2 linked regions of the Stegostoma tigrinum genome follow. The protein of the gene in region 1 interacts with the protein of each later gene in a biochemical or structural test. Links are inferred from orthologs where the notes say so. Each region holds a gene or a part of one and is shown on either strand. Other genes may lie near its edges.

Region 1 (11,313 bases):
CAAAATTGATCAAGCTCATGAGTGAGGAGGCATGAATTGGTTGTCGTTCTCTATTCACCTGTCCTCTTGGTTGGTTGCAATAAGGTTAATTTGGAAAGAATCCTTTCATTTGTGGGTGCCTTTCTCTGAGAACCAAATGCATTTATGTTTCAAATAGAACTAATGTAACAAAGCTATATCTTGGCTTAAGAAATGAGTGAGTTTATTAATTATTAAATGTGAGAAGTAATAACACATACACACAGATTAGAAATGAGAGGTGAGTCCACAAAAAATGTTGGAAAAGATATTCATATCAGTCTCTGAAAAGCAGACCCTGGGATATTATCTCCAATACATTCATTGATACCAGTGACCTGATGCTGGAAGGTGAGCAGTTTGTTCTGAAATGTTTGATTTTGCACAAAAACAGAAGTTGCTGGCAAAGTTCAGCAGGTCTAGCAGACCTGAGGAAGGGTCACCAGACCCAAAAGTTTAACTCTGATTTTTTCTTCACAGATGTTGCAACTTCTGTTTTTGTTCCTGATTTACAGTTCTTTTGGCTTTTGCTTGATTTTGGAGATTCGCTGGAACTCATTTTGCTCATCATTTTACTTATTTTTTGGCTTCCAGCACAGAAAGAGAAACTTAGATAACACGGTGTGAAGCTGGATGAACACAGCAGGCCAAGCCGCATCGGAGGAGCAGGAAAGCTTGAGGTTTCAGGTTGGGACCCTTCTTCAGAAAGATAAACTTATATTCTTTTTACCTACATTGCAGGCGCAGCTTAGCTATGAATCTTACAGCACACACATTCACCCTGTTATAATCTATTTGTGAAAGGAAGATTGAAACATGAGTTCTGCAACTTCTAGGACTATCATAAAAGTTAAAGTTTTAATTATATTTATCAACATCACTAGTTCACTTGGCTGACAAACCATGTTCATAGATAAAATTGACTAGATTTCTGTACTTAACAAGGTTGTTAATAAATTATTGTTTATTTCTAATAATTGAGTTTAAGCAGGCAAACAAAATATGACTTATAACCTAGAACACCCAAACTTAAACTATACCCCTCCTTAAACTTTCAGACAATATGTAGTCAGAAATAGATAAGCAAAAATAAAATGTTACGGATGGTGGAGGGCATAAAAAAAACACAGTTTAATAGCATGTGTCCACGGAATTGAACAAAGTGCCCTTTTGCTTCTTCCAAACCCTTCTAATCTCTGATCTGCTTTTTCTAAGTTCCTTCATTTCTTTACTGAAGCCATAGGGCAGTTGGCAAGTTAATTGTTCAGTTTTTCTGCCACTGATTAGAGGCAGCAGCTTATGGGGAAATAGTGACTAAGGATAGTCCGCGATCTACCAATTTTTTGTTACTTCTCTTCAAGGAAAGAGGGGATGTTATCTTAGAGTCAGAAGGTTTTCTGTCTCTGTATTGTTGACACATTGGCTTTCATCTGTTCAGAAGCCAGGCGGTTTTTGCTATGCTGAGCTTTCCAGACTCTCATAACTGGCCCTGATTATAAAAGCATCTGCAGCCTGTTTCTTGTTTTTCTCCCATCACATGTCACAAATTATTCACCTGCATCTGATAGTGCATAAAATAAACTTTGCTTCTGGTTTAGCTTTATCATAGTGTTATTCTGGTCCTTTTAAAGTCAAAGTCCACAACAGAGGGAGTGTGGGAAATATATTCTGCTATTTAAAATAAGGAGTAAATTAAATTACATTCTGCCTCTAGAGAGATGGCAAATATTGGTAAGTATACATTTGTTTGAAAAATTCACCATTCGTCCACACAGAAATTTGGCATTCCATCCAGATTGGATCAAACAAGGTATGCTAAAAATTTAGCCAAAGGGTACAAAATATGAGTAAAGTCTAAATACCTGTATATGAAACAGACTAAAATAAACTGATTGGCAGCGTAAGCATTTAAATTGGACAGACAAAATGGTTTGTAAAACAAATTGACTGCAACAAAACTTTATTACTTTAAGATTAATGAAAGGCATATTTTGATTCAAAAACATTCTTAGATCAAGATAACTGCTGAAATGTTAGCTATACTAAGCATAGACCACTAGAAGACTGTAGCTAGATGATTAGAAGTGAAATTGCACAGCAACATAAACCAAAAGGACACCCTTAAGCTGCTAGCTGAGCACAAGGACATAGTCCCATTCCAGAGCAGCTGGATGAAAAATTGATTTTTGAAGTAGCCCTATCCCCTGTGACCGGCACAGAGTTGGCAATACTCAGATTGCAGCTGGAGGTTTGGGAGAGATAAAGGGAGAAAGCAAGAAGGAATGAGGTTCTGAAATGGAATTATGGCTCAGTGAAAACTTAAGTAAACAGACGGAATTAGGGAAAATCCTCTCCACTCAGATGCAGACCAAATGTGCCTTCCCCAGAAACAAGCTTTGAAGTCCTAAAATATTCTTGATTCATTCCTAAATATGGAGTAGAATATGTGGACTCTTTTTACAGGACTTTTAAAGAGGCAGTGCTTTGCAGTTACAGTGGTCATGAATTTTTGTAATTCAGGGTGAGTTAACAGGAAAGGCCCAAAAGGTCCCCTAAATGACCCCTTCTTGTAGCAAGGAGACCAGAATTGCACATGATATTCCGAAAGTGGTCGAACCAATGTCTTACACAGTTGCAGAATGACCTCCCACCTCCTATACTCAATGCACTGTTTTAACTTTATGTAGTAACCATAGAAACTGGGAGCAACAGTCGACTCCCTTGTTCGCTCCACACTGCCCTCCAACCCCACCACACCCGGCACCTTCCCCTGCAACCGCAGGAAATGCTACACTTGTCCCCACACCTCCTCCCTCACCCCCATCCCAGGCCCCAAGATGACATTCCACATTAAGCAGAGGTTCACCTGCACATCTGCCAATGTGGTATACTGCATCCACTGTACCCGGTGCGGCTTCCTCTACATTGGGGAAACCAAGCGGAGGCTTGGGGATCGCTTTGCAGAACACCTCCGCTCAGTTCGCAACAAACAACTGCACCTCCCAGTCGCAAACCATTTCCACTCCCCCTCCCATTCTCTTGATGACATGTCCATCATGGGCCTCCTGCACTGCCACAATGATGCCACCCGAAGGTTGCAGGAACAGCAACTCATATTCCGCCTGGGAACCCTGCAGCCATATGGTATCAATGTGGACTTCACCAGTTTCAAAATCTCCCCTTCCCCCACTGCATCCCTAAACCAGCCCAGTTCATCCCCTCCCCCCACTGCACCACACAACCAGCCCAGCTCTTCCCCCCCACCCACTGCATCCCAAAACCAGTCCAACCTGTCTCTGCCTCCCTAACCGGTTCTTCCTCTCACCCATCCCTTCCTCCCACCCCAAGCCGCACCCCCAGCTACCTACTAACCTCATCCCACCTCCTTGACCTGTCCGTCTTCCCTGGACTGACCTATCCCCTCCCTACCTCCCCATCTACACCCTCTCCACCTATCTTCTTTACTCTCCATCTTCGGTCCGCCTCCCCCTCTCTCCCTATTTATTCTAGTTCCCTCCCCCCATCCCCCTCTCTGATGAAGGGTCTAGGCCCGAAACGTCAGCTTTTGTGCTCCTGAGATGCTGCTTGGCCTGCTGTGTTCATCCAGCCTCACATTTTATTATCTTGGAATCTCCAGCATCTGCAGTTCCCATTATCTCTGCAACAGTCGGCCATTTGGCTCTTCATGCCTGGTTTGCTATTCAATATGTACATGATGTGGAGTTGCCAGACTGGGGTGGACAAAATCAGAGATTACATGACACCAGGTTATAGTCCAACAGGTTTATTTGAAAATACAAGGTTGTGTTTTCAAATCATCCTGTTGGACTATAACCTGGTGTCTTGTGAATTCTGAAAATATAATCATGTCTTATCCTTTATTTCAAAGCCAAATTTCTGCTTTGTCCCCATATCTCTCAGTGCTTTTTAAATCTAAAAAACTTACTTATCTCTTTCTTGAAAATGTTCAGTGACTTGGTTTCTACAGCCTTCTGTAGTCGAGAATGCTACAGTTTCACTAGTCTTTCAGTGAAGAAATATTTCCTCATTGTGGTCCTAAAAGGCTTACCTGTTTACTGAGACTGTGGCCCTTGGTTGCAAACACCTCACCTTCCCTGCATCTACACATTTCAGTCAGATCCCCTCTCATCTTTCTCGGCTCTGACGAATACAGGCCCAATCAAACAAAGTTTTCCTCAAAGAACAGTCCTTTAATCCACAGTACCAGCCAAGCGAGCCTCCGCTGAAGTCCTTCCATGGCAACTATATCCTTTCTTAGCTAGGGTGACCAAAACTGCATGCAATACTTCAGATGTGTTCTCACCAAGGCCCCTATAACAGCAAAAGGGCAGCTCTACATCTGAATTCAAATTCTCTTTGCAATGAAGGCATATTATTTGCCATCCTAATTGTTTGCTGCACCTGCCTGTTTACTTTTATTTACTAATGTACAGGAACACATGGATCCCTTTACATGTCTGCATTTCTCAATATATCACCACCCAAATAATAATCTGCCTTTCTGTTTTTCACACTGAAGTGTTCACCTTCTCATTTACCCAAATTATATTGCAACTTCCATGCGTTTGCCTACTCACTCAATTTATCTAAACTGTCTTGAAGCATCCTTGTATCCACTCACCATTCGCAATCCTGCCTAGTTTTATATCTTCAGAAAATTTGGAAATGTTCCTGTTACATCATGATAACTGGGGTCCAAGCATTGATCCTTGCAGTAGCTTGCTTATCTGCCACTTGGAAAAAGATACATTTATTCCCACTCTCTGTTTTGTGACTTTCGATCAATTGTCAATCCAACTCAATATATTACTCCCAGTTCCATATGTTTTAGTTTTGTCCACAAACGTCTTATTTGGGAGATCATCAAAAGCCTTCCAAAAATTTAAGTATGCCACATCCACTGGTTCTCCTTTGTCTATTCTTCTTGCTACTTTCTCAAAAAAATCCAGTAGATTTGTTAAGCGTAATTTACTCTTCATAAACCTTTTCTCAAATACAGTTCATGCTTTACAATTTTTTTATCATGTACTTCATAGTGGACTATAACATTTTCCTTACTCTTGATGTTAGGTAAATTGACCTGTAGTTCTGTGTTTTTCTCTCCCGTCCATTTTGATCAGTGGGGATGGCATTTAACACCCTCCAATATGTTGCTCCAGAGTCTTCGAATTTTGAAAGATGACAACCAATTCATCCAATATTTCTAGGGCCAATTGCTTTAGTACTTTGGGATGTACATTATCAGATGCTAATAATTTGTTAGCCTTTAACTCCATCAATTTCCTGAAAAACAGTTTGTTACTAATGCTGATTTCCTCCAATTCCTCCCTTTCACTAGACCCCTGTTTCTGTAACATTTCTGGCAAGTTATTTATGCACTCTTTTACCACAACACTACTACAAAGTCTGAGTTCACTAATACTGTGGAATAAAACAATAAAAAAGGGAAAAATGTAATAACTATTTTCTTATCAATTGTGAGAAGAGGGAAGATTTATTTTAAAACTTGCAATCTGTCCATAAGAAAACTGCATTTAGCTAGCATCGGTATTACAATATTTAGAACAGCGATTTGAAACAGCAATAATCATATTGTAAAAACCAGCAATTTCGATTTATATATTTTATACAAAGAAAAAGCACCACCTGTGAACTGTATTTAAAATGATCAAACTGAAGTCATCACGTTTCGTTTCTTCCATATTTCCACACCAGTATGGAACTCTGAACTGTGTAGCCCGCTCCTTTAAATACACGAAGATTAAATATTTCATGTACAGAAAGGAAACTAAAAACTCATATTGTCCTTCTTTAAAGATTCTCGTAGAAATGCTTATAAAATTATATTTAAGTTAATGATACAAAAGGTTCTGGATCCTAACATTTCCCACCCCAGTGCCTGGCAGACTTCACAAGACCAGCGCTTCAAACAAAGAACTGCGGATGCTGGAAATCAGAAACAAAGACAGAAATTGCTGGAAAAAAATGAGCTCAGCAGGTCTGACAGCATCCGTGGAGAGAAATCTGAGTTAACATTTTCGGTCCAGAGACCCTTCTCTAGAACAAGCACTAAGATGGTCAATGAACACAGTTAAATGTATGAAAACTAATATTGCGGGGTCTTTGTGAGTGAGTGTATACCCGGATCCTCTGAAAGGTCAGTTTTTGTTTGAAATGGAAACTTACTCTTTTCATAAAGCTCTGCATTGCAGAAATCAATTCAAACCAGTGCCGATTAACCCTCAAGGAATATCATCCGAAAGACGGGGTTGTTTCATTGTTGCCTGTAGACGTCAGAAGTGATGCGAAGTTCCATGTCCTTATAACGGCGGCAGTGCCTCAAGGCTTTGGAAATACCTGGCGCAGTGGCTGATCGCGGCGTATTCTCCCTCTCCCTGCCCACTCCGCTTGGGAGCAGTTTATACACTGGGAGCCAAAGGCTGGATTGGATGGAACAGTCTGACTGAAGAACAGTTCTCAAGGACTGAAGACTGACGTCCAAACTCAATTATTAAGAAAAGTACAGTGTCGCTGATTACTGGATCCAAATCCAGTTGACAACCAGGACTAGGAATATCAACATCACTGCGCGGACTCCGTTCATGTGGAAGCGGGGGAAAGGGTACTTTGCTGCTTTGAGAAGGGTGGAAATATTCAGGCTTTCTAATCGTGAATCCCTCCTTGTCAACGGTGAGTCTTTAGAGCACATATAAAAGGTAACAGTTTTACCCAACTCAGGGCAAAACATCTGTTCGGTAATAAGACTGATATAAAAGATTCCCAGTTTTATGATATCGAACTATAAGTTTGAGATAAGCTACAAAGTTGACGGGTTTAAAAACGATGACAGCTTGATTTAACCGTGCTTTCGGATATTCACGGACTTTCATTTAGTCTTGGACGGGAGGGAAAGGAATAATGCAACTTTCACCCAGTCAGCAGCAATTCCCCAAAAACTGTTCTCAGATGGCTTCGTTGAAGAATCGGAGCGCGTTTCTCCAAACCATCTACCAGTACTTCTGCAACGCAACCTTCGAAAAGCAGAACCTCAGCTGGAATAGCACCATCCCGGAGGACTTTTTCATGAGCAAAGAGGAGCTGCTGTTGAAGTATCTGGGTCCCAGGAGATCGTCCTTTTTCGTGCCAGTCTGTTTGATTTATCTCTGCATCTTTGTGGTCGGCGCTTTTGGAAATGCACTAACCTGCATCGTTATAGCGAAGCACAAAGTGATGAGAACCCCTACGAATTATTATTTATTCAGCCTGGCCATTTCCGATCTCTTGGTGCTGATTCTGGGCATGCCGTTGGAACTCTATGAAATGTGGAGGAATTACCCGTTTCTCCTCGGTCAAGCGGGATGTCACTTTAAAACCTTCCTTTTTGAGACGGTTTGCTTTGCCTCAATACTAAACGTGACGGCCCTCAGTGTTGAGAGATACATCGCCGTCGTGCATCCCCTGAAAGCAAAGTATGTTGTGACCAGAGCTCACGCCAAACGTGTCATCTTAACGGTGTGGCTGATTTCCCTCTGCTCAGCCATCCCCAACACCCACCTGCACGGCATCTATTATCTGAGTACCCCGTTTGGGGAACACATTGAAGAGTCCGCTATCTGCGTGCTATTAAAGCCAGCCTGGATGTACAGTCTCATCATTCAGATCACCACGGTGCTGTTTTTCTTCGTCCCGATGATCATTATTAGTATGCTGTACTTACTGATTGGATTGCAACTGAAGCGAGAGGAGGTAATTTCTGACTTCAAACCAGGATTGGGAAATGCCAACTACCAAACGGCCCGCATGGAGCAAGAGAAGGTCAGGAGGAGCCAAGTAACCAAAATGCTCAGTAAGTTTAAAAAAATGCACATTGTTACGAAAGACTCCCAGTTGAGGTTCCTCAATTTGTCACAGTTCCAGGGAATCTCTCCATGCTCCCAGGTGAGGTGGGGTGAACTGGCTCTGCATTACACCCATCCCGTTGGGTTGGTTACGACAAGGTTAAGTTAAAAATGGACCTCTTCCTCTGTGGGTTTCATTCACTCACACCCAAATGTTTTAAAATAAACAAAAGGACTCATTCCTTTGGTTAATTCAGGAAAAAAAAAGAACTGGCTAAATTGACTCCTTTCAAAGCATAAGTTAATTTGAGTCTGGGAGACAGGGGAAAGGACTCCGTCTTGAAATGAACATGGTTGCAGCCAACCAAAAGGATGGGTGAGTAAGAAAGGGGCTGGTCCATACTTCTTCACCGGGGAGCCAAACAGTTTGGGATATTCTTCTAGGACTAAACAAGTTGGGGAACCTCAGCCAGGATCCTGTCATAACAAACTAGGGGCTTTTACTGCAGTTTGAAACAACAGATGAAACGTAAGAAATAGAGTGGTAACTTACCACTTTGAAACCAATTGTTAAAAAAAACTGCAAAGGGCTTTATTGAGTTTGCAGTTCCACACACTATTGAAATGTCCGCCTTCAATCACAGTTAGTTAAGTTAGGGTAAGTTAGTTTCGAAGATTTAAATGTTCTGTCCCTTAAGCAGTTAAAAGATTGAGGGACACACTCAGGGTTAGAATTTTACCCTAAGTCAGAAACTCCAAAATTTTAGAAGGAATAGCCAATAATTTACAGACGGAAACTGAGGATGAAGCGATAGATGATGATTATCAGGAGAAAGGGTAAAATCAGAGCAGTGTGAATTAGAGTTTTAAGAAAAGGAAAAGCAACTAGAAAGAGGATTGGGGCAATACAGGCATGGACTATTCTCGAAATGGTGAGAAAATTCACAAAGCAGAAGTACAAAGGGACCTGGGAGAGTTGGTCCAGGATTCTCGAAAGGTTAACTTGCAGGTAGAGTCCGTGATTAAGAAAGCGAATGTAATGTTGTCGTTTATCTCAAGAGGGTTGGAATATAAAAGCAGCGATGTGCTTCTGAGGCTTTATAAAGCTCTAGTTAGGCCCCATTTAGAATACTGTGTCCAATTTTGGGCCCCACACCTCAGGAAGGACATACTAGCCCTGGAGCATGTCCAGCGGAGTTTCACACGGATGATCCCTGGAATTGTAGGTTTAACATATGATGAATAGCTAAGGATCCTGGGATTGTACTCATTAGAGTTTAGAAGGTTGAGGGGAGATCTAATAGAAACTTACAAGATAAAGTGTGGCTTAGAAGGGGTGGACGCTAGGAAGTTGCTTCCGTTAGGCAGGGAGACTAGGACCCATGGGCACAGCCTTAAAATTAGAGGGGGTAAATTTAAAACTGAAATGAGACGACATTTCTTCAGCCAGAGAGTGGTTGGCTTGTGGAATTCATTGCCATGGAGTGCAGTGGAGTTCAGGACGTTGGATGCCTTCAAGGCAGAGATCGACAAATTCTTGATCTCACAAGGAATCAAGGGCTATGGGGAGAGTGCAGGGAAGTGGAGTTGAAATGCCCATCAGCCATGATTTAAATGGCGGAGTGGACTTGATGGGCCAAATGGCCTAACTTCCACTCCTATGCCTTATGGTCTTATGGTCTAAGACAGCAAAGAGTAAGGAGAGAAGAAAGTTTATCGAAAAACCTGCAAGAAAAGAGTATCAATTAAGACAGTTGAAATTGAAAAAAAGACTGGAATCTTACTGCATCGCATGAAGTTACTATTGGCCAAGACTTGAGGGTGAGGCAACTCAGTTAGTCATTTAATTCCTAGCTTTGAGGAGGCAGAGATTGAAACTACCTTAGAAGACTTGACAGGATAGATACAAAAAGGATGTTTCCTCTTATGGGAGAGTCCTGGACCAAAGGACATAATCTCAGAATGAGGGTTTGCACATGTAGGACAAAGATGAGGAGGAATTTTTACTCTCTGACAGTAGTGAACCTATGAAATTCTTTCCAGCAGAGAGCTGTAGAGCTTGGTTCATTAAGTATATTCAAGTCTGAGATAGATTTTGAATCAGTAAGGGAACCAATGGTTATGGGGAAAAGGCAGGAAACTAGAGTTGAGAACTATCAAATCAGCCATGATCTCATTGAACAGCAGAACATACTCAGTTGGCTGAGTGGCCTTCTTCTGCAGCCACAACTTATGGTGTAAAGGTGGGAAAAGTGATGGACAATTGAGCCCATAATGGAAAAAATGGAAATACAGGGGGCCTTCGTGAGGACAGAAATGATAGTGCTAAGTTGAACGGTGAGGGTAAGAAGCTGATGTGTTTTCTTTGATGCAAGACAGGGCATGGTTGGACCAATTGTTGAATGCTATGGGAAAATCTAGTGGGATTTATCAGAGTGCATGTGCAATGCACAGAGAATGGGGTTCAGTCAGACAGCATATCAGGCCAGGCTATAACTCGGACTTCAACTATAAATCCCTGTGACAGCATTCCTGAGAGTGTGAATTCGGTTAAACAAATTCCTGAAATTTATTGGGACTTTGTATCTTATGCAGGAGTGGTCACATTTTCACAGGTAGAGGCAAACAGCCTACAGAAATATCAAAGGGATGCTGAGGCCAGCCAAACTCTACTGCTGGAAAAGGGCATGACCTTCCTACAAGAGAGGACAGTTAATGCCAAAGTGCTGGTAGGAGAGATTAACAGAGGGTGCATTCTCATCCCCCTTTACTGGGCGCCTATGGTGTGTGACCTTGTGTCAAGGCCAGTGACCACAAGTGTCATCCCTGATGTGGTTGTGGATGGGACTGACCTGCTTCTCAGCAATTACTTGATGGGATGAAAGGTAATAACATTCTCAGTGGTCTCTGAGAAGCCATTTGAGGTCAGGGAGACAAACACACTGTAGACACCAAGGAATGACATTTTTTTCTGTCAGCATGGTCATGCCAGCTATGGGTAGACAAGCTCAGCCACTGGAGGCTGAAGAGGCATTACAAGTGGAAGATTCTCCTGTTTGATGATCCCAAACAACTACCCAACAAGTTGACCACTATTGAAATCACTGGCTCAGACTGCTCACACTCAATCTGCGGCAGATGCAGTCTCAGAACGTGACTGGATTAAAAGTGTGCCAACAATGTGAAAAATAGCCCAGCTATGTCCTGTCTATATAAAGAAAAATAAATCCAATCTGGTCATTTACTGTCTCATCAGTTTACACTCAATCATTAGCAAAGCAATATGAGGTGTTATTAATGGTGCTGTCAAGAAAAACCCCCTCAAAAACAACCTGCTCAATAATGCTCAGTTTAGATTACATCAAGCTCATCTAGTTCCAGACCTCATCACTGTCTTGGTACAAACATGACAAAAGAGCCATATTCCATAGTAAGA
Region 2 (10,986 bases), on another chromosome or scaffold:
CTGACTCCACACACAACTTACCACTACTATCCTTGATTGGGCCTAATCTTACTTTCGTCATTCTTTTATTCTTTAAATACCTATAGAAAGCCTTAGGGTTTACCCTGATCCTATCTACCAACAACTTCTCATGTCTCCTCCTGGCTCTTCTGAGTTCTCTCTTTAGGACTTTCCTGGCTACCTCGTAGCCCTCAAGTGCCATAACTGAGCCTTCATATCTCATCCTAACATAAGCCTTCTTCTTCCTCTTGACTAGAGATTCCACCTCCTTCGTAAACCACGGCTCCCGCACTCTACAGCTTCCTCCCTCCTGACGAGTACATACTTATCTAGGACACACAGGAGCTTTTCCTTGAATAAGCTCCACATTTCTAATGTGCCCATCCCCTGCAGTTTCCTTCCCCATTCTATGCTCCCTAAATCCTGCCTAATCTCATTGTAATTGCCTTTCCCCCAGCTATAACTCTTGTCCAGTGGTATACACTTATCCCTTTCCATCACTAAAGTAAACATAACAGAATTGTGATCGCTATCACCAAAGTGCTCACCTACTTCCAAATCTAACACCTGGCCGGGCTCATTACCCAGTACCAAACCTAATGTGGCTTCGCCACTTGTTGGCCTATCTACATACTGTGTCAAGAAGCCCTCCTGCACACACTGGACAAAAACTGACCCATCTATAGTACTCGAACTATAGTGTTCCCAGTCAATATCTGGAAAGTTGAAGTCCCCCATGACAACTACCCTGTCTCTCTCACTCCTATCGAGAATCATCTTTGCTATCCTTTCCTCTACATCTCTGGAACTATTCGGAGGCCTATAGAAAACTCCCAACAGGGTGACCTCTCCTTTTCTGTTTCTAACCTCAGCCCATACTACCTCAGTTGACGAGTCCCCAAACATCCTTTCTGCAACTGTAATACTGTCCTTGACCGACAATGCCACACCTCTGCCCCTTTTACCATCTTCTCTGTTCTGACTGAAACATCTAAATCCCAGAGCCTGCAACAACCATTCCTGTCCCTGCTCTATCCATGTCTCCGAAATGGCCACAACATTGAAGTCCCAGGTACTAACCCCTGCTGCAAGTTCACCCACCTTATTCCGGACGCTCCTGGCATTGAAGTAGACACACTTCAATCCAGCTTCTTGCTTGCCAGTGCCATCTTGCTTCCCTGAAACTTTATTTCGGACCACTCTACTCTCAACATTTTCTATAGTCGAACTACAATTTTGGTGCCCATCCCCCTGCTGAATTAGATCCTAGAAGGTTATATAATAACAACACTAGCAATGTGTAAAGATGTCTTAATTTCTCTGAATGTGTTCCAGAATCTATTAATCCTACGACAAAGTAAAATACCAAAAACATTCCTGTTTTACGTTTGACACAGGGAAGATGAGAGACGTCTCGAAGTAGAATCTCCCAACAGCCACGCAGTAGAATGAGCACACACAAAAACAGAAATTGCTGGAGAAATTCAACAGGACTAACAGTGGAGAGAAAACAGAGTTAATGTTTCAAGTCCAGTCACCGTGCTTGCTGGGGACACAATAGGATCTAATGCAAACTAAAGGGGTAACAATTGCCATCCTCTAAATACATCACAAACTCTCATTTTACTAGAGATACATAACCACAAAAATGGTCACACCTTCTAATCAACACACAAGTTATTCATTCTGGGTACTGTTGTAACAGTTCGCAAAGCAAACAGTATCATGTAGACACATGCATGAGAACTAACATGTGAGCTCCCTCCACTCACACTTCCGCAGATTGCAAATCTGTGCACAGGCGTTTTGTCTATGGGAGGAAGTGCATAGCTAGAATGTCATTGACTAATAATCCAGTAAATTTCGGCCAATAGACTGGGAATATCGGCTCAACTCCCATCACAGATGTTTTTTGGGATTTAAAGTGAATTAATAAATATAGAACTTAAAAAAAAATGGTGGCCATGAAATTGCTGTTGTAAAAGCCTACCTGTTTCACGAAGGTACATCTGCTGTAGTCTGGCCAACATGTGATTCCAGACCATGAGCAACTATTAATACTATTAATACTACAAAGTCCCACTTTTTGAGATATGGGTGCTTGCACTTCCCAAAATTTGGAAAGCTGTGCCATAGATAAGTCAACCAACAGCCTGACAAAGGCATCCACACCATTGTACTTACAGATGATGGGATGGAATCTTGTAGTTCACCTGGGGTGTTCAGTAGCGTGCAAGGGAAAACTAAATTGGGTATGAGGCCAAACTTCAGATTCCCAATATCAATTTAAAGCTTTGGAAGTAAGTTCTCTGAAACTTTTAGGCAACCTTCTTGATCATAATGGTAAAAAATCTCTTTCAGATTCATTAGCATATCATAAATATTCTTTACACCCAGCCCAATGGTGTTTTATTCATAATTGTAATCTTATTAGTCAGTAGTAAGAAAAACATGAGTTCATATTTCTTACCATGTTTGTACTCGTTGGCATTCAACCTTCTCAACTCCAGGACATTTCTGCAGGAGTCCATCAGGATAGTGTCTACGCGCAACCATCTTCAATTACTTCATCAACCAATTTCCCTCCATTAAGGTCAGAAGTGGGGATGTTTACACAATACTCAGCACCATTCACAACTTCTCAGCTACTGAATCAGCCAGTCTTACATGCAACAAGACCAGGGCAACCTTCAGATTTGGGATTTTTAAAAATCCCTTGTGGGAGTGGACGTCACTGGCTGGCCAGCAATTTTATTGATTATTTCTAGTTGCCCTTGAGAAGATGTTGGAGAGCTATCTTCTTGAATTGCTGCAATCCGCACACTGTTGGGTTGACCCTCAATATCATTGGGGATCAAATTCCAAGATTCTGACCCAGCAACAATGAAGGAACAACAATATATTTCTAAGCCAGGATGGTGAGTGGTTTGGAGGGGAACTTGCAGTTGGTGGTGTTCCCATGTATCTTCTGCCCTTGTTCTTCTACATGGAAGTGAATGCTGAGATTGGACGGTGCTGTTTAAGGATTTTTGATGCTTTGCTGCAGTGCATCTTGTAGACAGTACTCTGCTGCTACTGAATGTCAGTGGTGGAGAGAGTGGATGCTTGTGGATGTAGTACCAATCAAGCAAGCTGCTTTGTCCTGGATGGTGTGAAGTTTCTTGAGTGTTGTTAGGGCTACACTCATCAGGCAAGTGGGGACTATTCCATCAGGTTCCTGGCTTGTGCTGTGTAGGTGGTGGACAGGCTTTGAGGAGTCAGGAGATGAGTTACTTGTTGTGGTATTCCTAGTCTCATCACAAGGATAATAAGTGGCAAGTAACATTTTCCTTCTCTTTTCGCTTTCCAGGATGCGAAAAAAAAACATTCCAATAATAGTTATAAACCAGTAGATGGGAGAGTGAGTGGAACTCAGTGAAAATACAAATCTACAGGGAAGTGGTACTGAGCAAACTGACGGAACTGTGAGCTAACAAGTTCTCAGTTCCTGATGGATTTCATCTTCAGCTGTTAAAAGAAGTTATGAGTAAGGTAGTAGATGCATTGGTGTTAATGTGGCAACATTTTCAAGATTCTGGAATGGTGCCATCAAACTGTAAAGTAGCAAATATAATCAATCTAGTCAAGAGGGGAGAACATAAAAAACAACATGTTTGGCTTGACATTTGTTGAGCAGAAGGCATTAGAATTGATCACAAAGAAGGTTATTACTGCACACTTCAAGAAAATCAAGGCAATGTGTTGGAGTCAGTATTGATTTGTGAAAGGAAAATCATGTTTAACCAGTTTATCTGAGTTATATGAACATGTTTGTGGAGAAAGGGGAGTCTGTGGACTTCTGGGTTTCTAGAAGGCACTTGTGAAGGGGCCATGTGAAATGCTATTGCACAGAGCAGGGACTCAAAGTGTAGAGGGTTACATGTTAGCATGGAGAGAAGACTAGCTGGCTCACAGAAAACAGAGATTACTCATAAATGGGGGATAGCAAGAACTGCAGATACTGGAGTCAGACAACACAGTGTGGTCCTGGAAGAACACAGCAGGCCAGGCAGCATCAGAGGAGCAGGAATGAAATTTCAATTGCCTGCTGTGTTCTTCCAGCTTCACACTGTATTTACTCATGAATGTGTCTTTTTTTCAGATTGGCAGGATCTGGCAAGTGGAGTCCCACAGGGATCTATTTTGTGGTCTCCGCTTTTACAATTTATATCAATGACTTTAATGAAGGGCATAAAGACATGGTTGTTAATCTTACAGATGACACAAGCATAGGTAGGAATGTATATTCCTAAGGCGATATATGGAGGATGCAGATCGATATAAATAGGTTGAGTGAATGGATAAACATCTAACTGATGGACTGTAATCTGAGAATATGTGAAGTTGTTCTCTTTTTATTTAAAGAGAAAATGAGTTACAAGTTCTGGGTATTCTCGTGTGTGAATTACAAGAAGTTAGTATGCAGGTGCAGCAAGTAATGAGGGCTAATGGAATGCTGTTCTTTATTACAAGCTAAATTGAACACATAAGTAAAAATGTTGCTTTAGTTTTACAGGGAACTGGAGAGACTACAATTCAAACATTGTATACAGTTTTAGTAATAATGGGAACTGCAGATGCTGGAGAATCTGAGATAATGAAGTGTGGAGCTGGATGAACACAGCAGGCCAAGCAGCACCTTAGGAGCACAAAAGCTGCCATTTCGGGTTATACCCTTTATCAGAAAAGGGGGAGGGGGAGAGGATTCTGAAAGAAATAGGGCGAGGGGGGAGGTGGACTGAAGATGGGTAGAGGAGAAGATAGGTGGAGAGGAGACAGACAATTTAAGGAGGCGGGGATGGAGCCAGTAGAGGTGAGTGTAGGTGGGGAGTTAGGGAGGGGATAGGTCAGTCTGAGGAGACAGACAGGTCAAGAAGGCAGGATGATGTTAGTAGGTAGGAAGTGGGGGTGCGGCTTGAGGTGGGAGGAGGGGATAGGTGAGAGGAAGAACAAGTTAGGGAGGCGGGGATGAACTGGGCTGGTTTGGGATGCTGTAGGGGGAGAGGAGATTTTGAAATTTATGAAATACACATTGATACCATTGGGCTGCAGGGTTCCCAAGCGGAATATGAGTCGTTGTTCCTGCAACCTTCCGGTGGCATCATTGTGGCACTGCAGGAGGCCCATGATGGACATGTCGCCTGAGGAATGGGAGGGGGAGTGGAAATGGTTTGCGACTGGGAGGTGCAGTTGTTTATTGTGAACTGAGCGGAGGTGTTCTGCAAAGCGGTCCCCAAGCCTCCGCTTGGTTTCCCCAATGTAGAGGAAGCCACAACGGGTACAGTAGATGCAGTATACCACATTGGCAGATGTGCAGGTGAACATCTGCTTGATGTGGAAAGTCTTCTTGGGGCCTGGGATGGGGGTGAGGGAGGAGGTGTGGGGGCAGGTGTAGCACTTCCTGCAGTTGCAGGGGAAAGTGCCGGGTGTGGTGGGGTTGGAGGGACCACTTTGCAGAACACTACACTCGGTTCGCAATAAACAACTGCACCTCCCAGTCGCGAACCATTTCAACTCCCCCTCCCATTCCTCAGATGACATGTCCATCCTGGACCTCCCGCAGTGCCACAACGTTGCCACCTGAAGGTTGCAGGAACAACAACTCATATTCCGCTTGGGAACCCTGCAGCCCAATGATATCAATGTGGATTTCACAAGCTTCAAAATCTCCCCTCCCCCTACTGCATTCCAAATCCAGCCCAGCTTGTCCCCAACTCCCTAACCTAAGCCACACCCCTATTTCCTACCTACTAACCTCATTCTGACCCCATGACCTGTCCATCCTCCCCGGACTGACCTATCCCCTCCCTACCTCACAACCTACACTCACCTCTACAGGCTCCATCCCCGCCTCTTTAACTTGTTTGTCTCCTCTCCACCATCTTCTCCTCTATCCATCTTCAATCCACCTCCACCTCTCTCCATATTTATTTTAGAACCCTCTCCCCCTCCCCCTTTTCTGATGAAGGGTCTGGGCCCAAAATGTCAGCTTTTGTGCTCTTAAGATGCTGCTTGGCCTGCTGTGTTCATCCAGCTCCACACTTTGTTATACAGTTTTAGCCTCCTTATTTGATGAAGGATGTATTGGTGGTGGTTCAGAGGAGGTTTGTTAGATTGGAATGAGCAGTTTTATGTGGATAGTGGTGCAGGCAGGTTCAATTGAAACATTCGAGGCCATTGCAGGTTGTGGGGGAAATGTAGGAGATTGGCAGTGGGTAATGAAGCTCATTTTCAGAGCTGGTGTAAGCATGATGGGCCGAATGGCTTCCTCTTGCGCCATGGTAATTCTGTGTTCCTGTCATTGTCCAACTACTATCTTTTATCGGAACGTCTGAGCCCCTGGTCAACGGCTGAACATTGGTGGTGAGAGCAGAGAGAGTGGAACCCTAACGGTCGATGCTTAAAGTTCGAGGAATGTTTGGGAAAGGAGTTAATATGTCAGTTTCAAGCAGGAAGGCAGCGAGAAACCAGCTGGTATATCCCTTACTCAGTAACTGTCTTCAGCGTTCATGGACACTGGAATTGTAAGGTTTTTCAAACAACTGTAGGTCAAAGCGAAGGAACGCTGGCTGAATTGATCAGAGAACGAGACCCGGAAAATAGCCAGGCAAGCCAACTTTATGAAATGAGGCGGAATGTGCACAAGACGAGCATGAACGGGTCCGATTTTAACTCTGCGCTAGTGAGTGGCTTTTAAATGAGACAAAGCCTTGTCCACCTACAGAAATGCCTCAAATATCCCCCAGCTATCAGCTGGAGCGAAGGGTTGGAGGAGGGGGTAGCTGCTCTTTGCTTTTGACTGGGAACCAGAAAGGAAAAGGGAGTTGCCGAGGATATTGATCGAAGCTGAACTTCTTCAAAGTCAGAAGGAGAGTGAATGCCAGCACATGGTGTATCTGTCTCACCGTGTCCTGAAGACTCATGACGTTTGGACATGTCGATACTGACGTGGGGACTGTTTTTAAGAGTGGAGATGCACAAGCAGTGAAAGTTTACCAGGATCTGAGTTGCCTAGTTAAGATCGTGTGGACCAGGCATGCTGGGTTTCAATCTCTGTCAGTGCCGGGGAGGAGCAAGAGCGCCGCGGAGACGCAGTATGAAGCACCCTCACTGCATGCTCGCACTTTCACTGTTCCTGCTCTCCAGCTCGTGTTTCTCACAAGGTACCAGTGTTAACTTTCAACCTCTCCGCCTCCTCCTCTCCTTTCTTCTTTCCTCGTCATATTTCTGCCAATATTGTCTTACTTGTTTCCAGTAAAAATGTTATTTTTTTACAATTCTTTTAAGCTTTGTTTTTTTTTCTATTCTTTTAGTCGCTTGTCGTTTTACCCCGTGTGAAAAAAGTCAATGATCGTTAATTTCACTGCTAAGTTGAAAAGGAAGCGTTTGGTTTATTTATACAAATAAACAACGACGACCTCGACATATGTAATCACATTGCTTAAGAAAGTGCAATCTTGTACAATGTTTAATGTCTATTAAGATTTGTGATACTGGCCGCGGTCCCTGAGATCTCTGCAGACTAGATAACCTCCCAGATAAAAATAGAAAATTTCGTTTTTCCCTGCTTTTGTAGAGTTTGACATTGATACGCCTTGAGATGATCTTTCAATAGTTTCACCAATGAGCTAATGTTGGAATTGAAGTGAAACTCTTTTCATCAGCCTGGTTCAGGGAATATCCAGGAGTCCCTGCTCTGTGTTCTGAGAGTTGATCTTTGGATAGTGTGTGATGGTTTTTAGCTGAAATGTTAGCAAGGTTGAAAAGTGCAAATGAACAGCGCAGAAAATTAGCATTGATGCCTGGCTGTTCAAATAGATATAGTAAATAGTGTGTTTTGGAAGATTAAAAAATTCATTAAATTCATCAAAAAAACTCATTAAAAATATTAAATCCTCTTACAAAATAATATCCTTATTTTCCCTTATAACCTGTCCTGCAGGTCCACTTAAGTTCTGTGATTTGGGATGGAGTATGTCGGAAAAAAATGGACATTTATTTCTTTATTAATATTCCAATTACATTTCTGTAACATCTCAAATGTTTTATTGAGATTAGTCCTCATCTTCATTAGAGAATGAATCTAATTTGCTCTTAGGAAAGCAATGAAGCTGATTATTACAACAGAAGTCCAATATAATGATGTAGCTGAGGACAGAGACACTGCAACTTTGCATATTTACTTAACAGGAAAGAAATGTTTACTTTATTCAATGCCATTGATTCTTGGCATTCATAAATGCTGATTCAATTCAAATAAAATGGGACATACTATAGGATAGCTATTCTTACTTAGTGTTATATTCCTTACGGCTGGGTAGAGCATTTGAAAAGTGTACAGGTAGACAATAAACATGTAATAAAGACAGAGCTTTGCTTAGTACTAGGATCATAAAACTTGTTTGTTAAGGTATTACTTGCATGTTTAGAGTTATGAACTGTGATATACAGAGGGAAATGATTATACTATTGCATGGAATAGGAAAAAAATTAAACTAGGGCATTATTGAATTGAAGTGATCTTAGAATGATGTTTCAGTATATTGCTGATTCAATAAAAATATTAAAGCAAAATTACAAACAAATTACAAGATAACATGACAATGAAAGTGTAAAATGAAAACTGCAATTTCCAATCACTATTATACACAATCATTTTTATTATACTATTTGAGTTGTGTTAAACATTTAATATTTTGATTTTACTAGAAACCTACGTGATAGTTACTTTCATCTTCTTCACCCAAAATTAAAACATCTTTTTTCAGTTTTACATGATACACAACAAATCAAAACAAGCTGTTATATTTATATCTGTTCTTTTATTATCCTTTGCTATAAAAGTGGGAAAGCATTTCAACTTAACTGTGTTTTTCAAACTAAGTTGAGAAGAAAATCTGTCAAGATTCAGTTTGAGAGCGTAGTCAATCACAAAAAAAAGTTAATGTATGAGCGAAATTCAGTTAAACGTGTGTAAAATTAATGTTTGTTAAGGAGATACTACATTTACTTAGAGCTCTTAAGCAGATCTATTTTTCCCTTCATAGACAGTGGCAATCGATAAAAATATTATTGGACTGAAAGAAATACTTCCCATTTAAACTTGTGAATTGGGTACTTTTAAAAATAAATTGTTTAAGTATGTTATGAATGTCCATAGGAAAGGAATAAAATTAGGGAGAGAATTATTTTGGACGTCTAACTGGGATTTTCCTCTGAATTGCTCTTATTATGTCATCTTGACTTAGTTAGAATTTCATTGAAAGCTTTGATTATACTGCACTTCCTGTGAAATTAAAGCATAAATTGATATTGAAGGTCAAAGCCTAATGCTCCCATATCTCAAAAACCTTACAGGATTCCAATGATTACAAAGAAACCAATCACACATATTTGTACAATTTACAAATGAATGTTGAAATTATTAATTTATGATAGAATAATTTAGTGCTCAGCAAATAGGTCTTTTATTTCAGAATGATTAATACTTAGTTATAACATAAAAGTAACAGGCAAAGAACACATTATTAAACTAACTTATTAGATATACCAAAATGTTGGAGGAAAAAAAGTCACTGCATTCCAGGAAAGGACCATCCTTCCTTTTGTGAGAAATTTCATTGTTACATGCTTCAGGAGAGAACGATCTTTCATACATTCATTCTAATTAAAATCTCATTGGCAGTTTTAGTTTCAAATTGCTAAAATATAATGCAATTTTTATATTTCATATTTTTGTGATAACATGTTTAATAAAAATAAGCATTTGAGTAGTAAACCTAACACTGGATTTCAAGGTGAAGTAATAATAAATTTTAACTGTAGCCTAAACCTACATTTGAACTTGGCCACCTTGTTTCCCAACTTTATAGACGGGTGTTTCGATGGTGAGCAAAGTGGCAACAGAATCCTTCAGGTCAGAGAACTGAAAGCGCAACATTTACTATCTTATAGATGGGTAACTATCTAGAATGTTCAGGATCAAAAGCCTGAGGCAAATGTACAATAATAGTTATAATTCTCAAATTGACCTTTCAGGATGATGTACATTCCTATGTGGTCAGATTATTTTTCAATGCAAGCATGTTATGATCATCTCCTCAAAGAAGTAAAATGTTCTCACCTTGAGGCTATTGTATGTTGTATCCACAATTCACAATGTTTCCTGGGGATTATTTTCATGTAACTTACAAGAAACAAGCCCTTGGCTACCTGTGGTTAAATGGGAAAAAATATAATAGGTGAGCTAGGCAAACCAGAACTAATTCTTGAAATTAATAATCAAAATAAGCATACCAGAAGTCAAATTCATAATCTGTTTTATTAGTGGACACTTATCCAATGTTTATAATCTTTGTAAACGTTTTTCAGTTGCAACATATTTCTTATTAGTTTGATAGATTTCTCCTAAGAATGAAATTACACTATATCTCTTCCTCCACTTCTCTGCTATTCTCCAAAATAGCATTAAAAGATATCTCATTAAGCAAACTTCTTAAGTGTCAAGTGTCCAGATGAATCCTGCTTTGATTCAGTATCAATCTGTGTCTGATTATATATTTTCAAAGTGTTTTCAAATAGTTTACTACACTAGAGGCCATATAAGACTACAAGATGTTGTTATTTTTGAAATCATTGCCAGTCAGTAGCAAGAAACAAAAAATGTTTGGGATAATTTTAATTTTCTCTGACAATGTAAAACTCGTGACATTAGGCCAGTAACCTTGTTCCATCTTATCTTTTATTTCCAATATTATCTTTCACTATTGCCTGTTTTACCCTTTCACACAGAAGCCAAATTAAGCTTAAAAATCATAATAATTTTGTTGTATCAGGATTTGTATAATTGTAATTTCTGGTATATAGTTGGTGCACACAATCTTATGTCTAACCAATTTTGCAGGTGTTCTTGCATCACCTCAGCGGTTTCCAGCAGAACAGAAGCTA

Evidence for each region.
Region 2: the proteins of nmur1a (region 1) and nmu form a complex in vitro, tested with the Homo sapiens proteins (2 studies listed by BioGRID). The link is inferred for Stegostoma tigrinum from reciprocal best matches to the Homo sapiens genes NMUR1 and NMU.

What each region holds. Positions count from the first base shown.
Region 1 is NC_081367.1:37,989,299-38,000,611, forward strand, and holds the start of nmur1a (neuromedin-U receptor 1), read left to right. Parts: upstream 1-6,354; 5' UTR 6,355-6,957; coding exon 6,958-7,885; intron 7,886-11,313. UniProt on the Homo sapiens protein: Receptor for the neuromedin-U and neuromedin-S neuropeptides.
Region 2 is NC_081354.1:108,883,484-108,894,469, reverse strand, and holds the start of nmu (neuromedin-U), read left to right. Parts: upstream 1-6,858; 5' UTR 6,859-7,075; coding exon 7,076-7,202; intron 7,203-10,942; coding exon 10,943-10,986.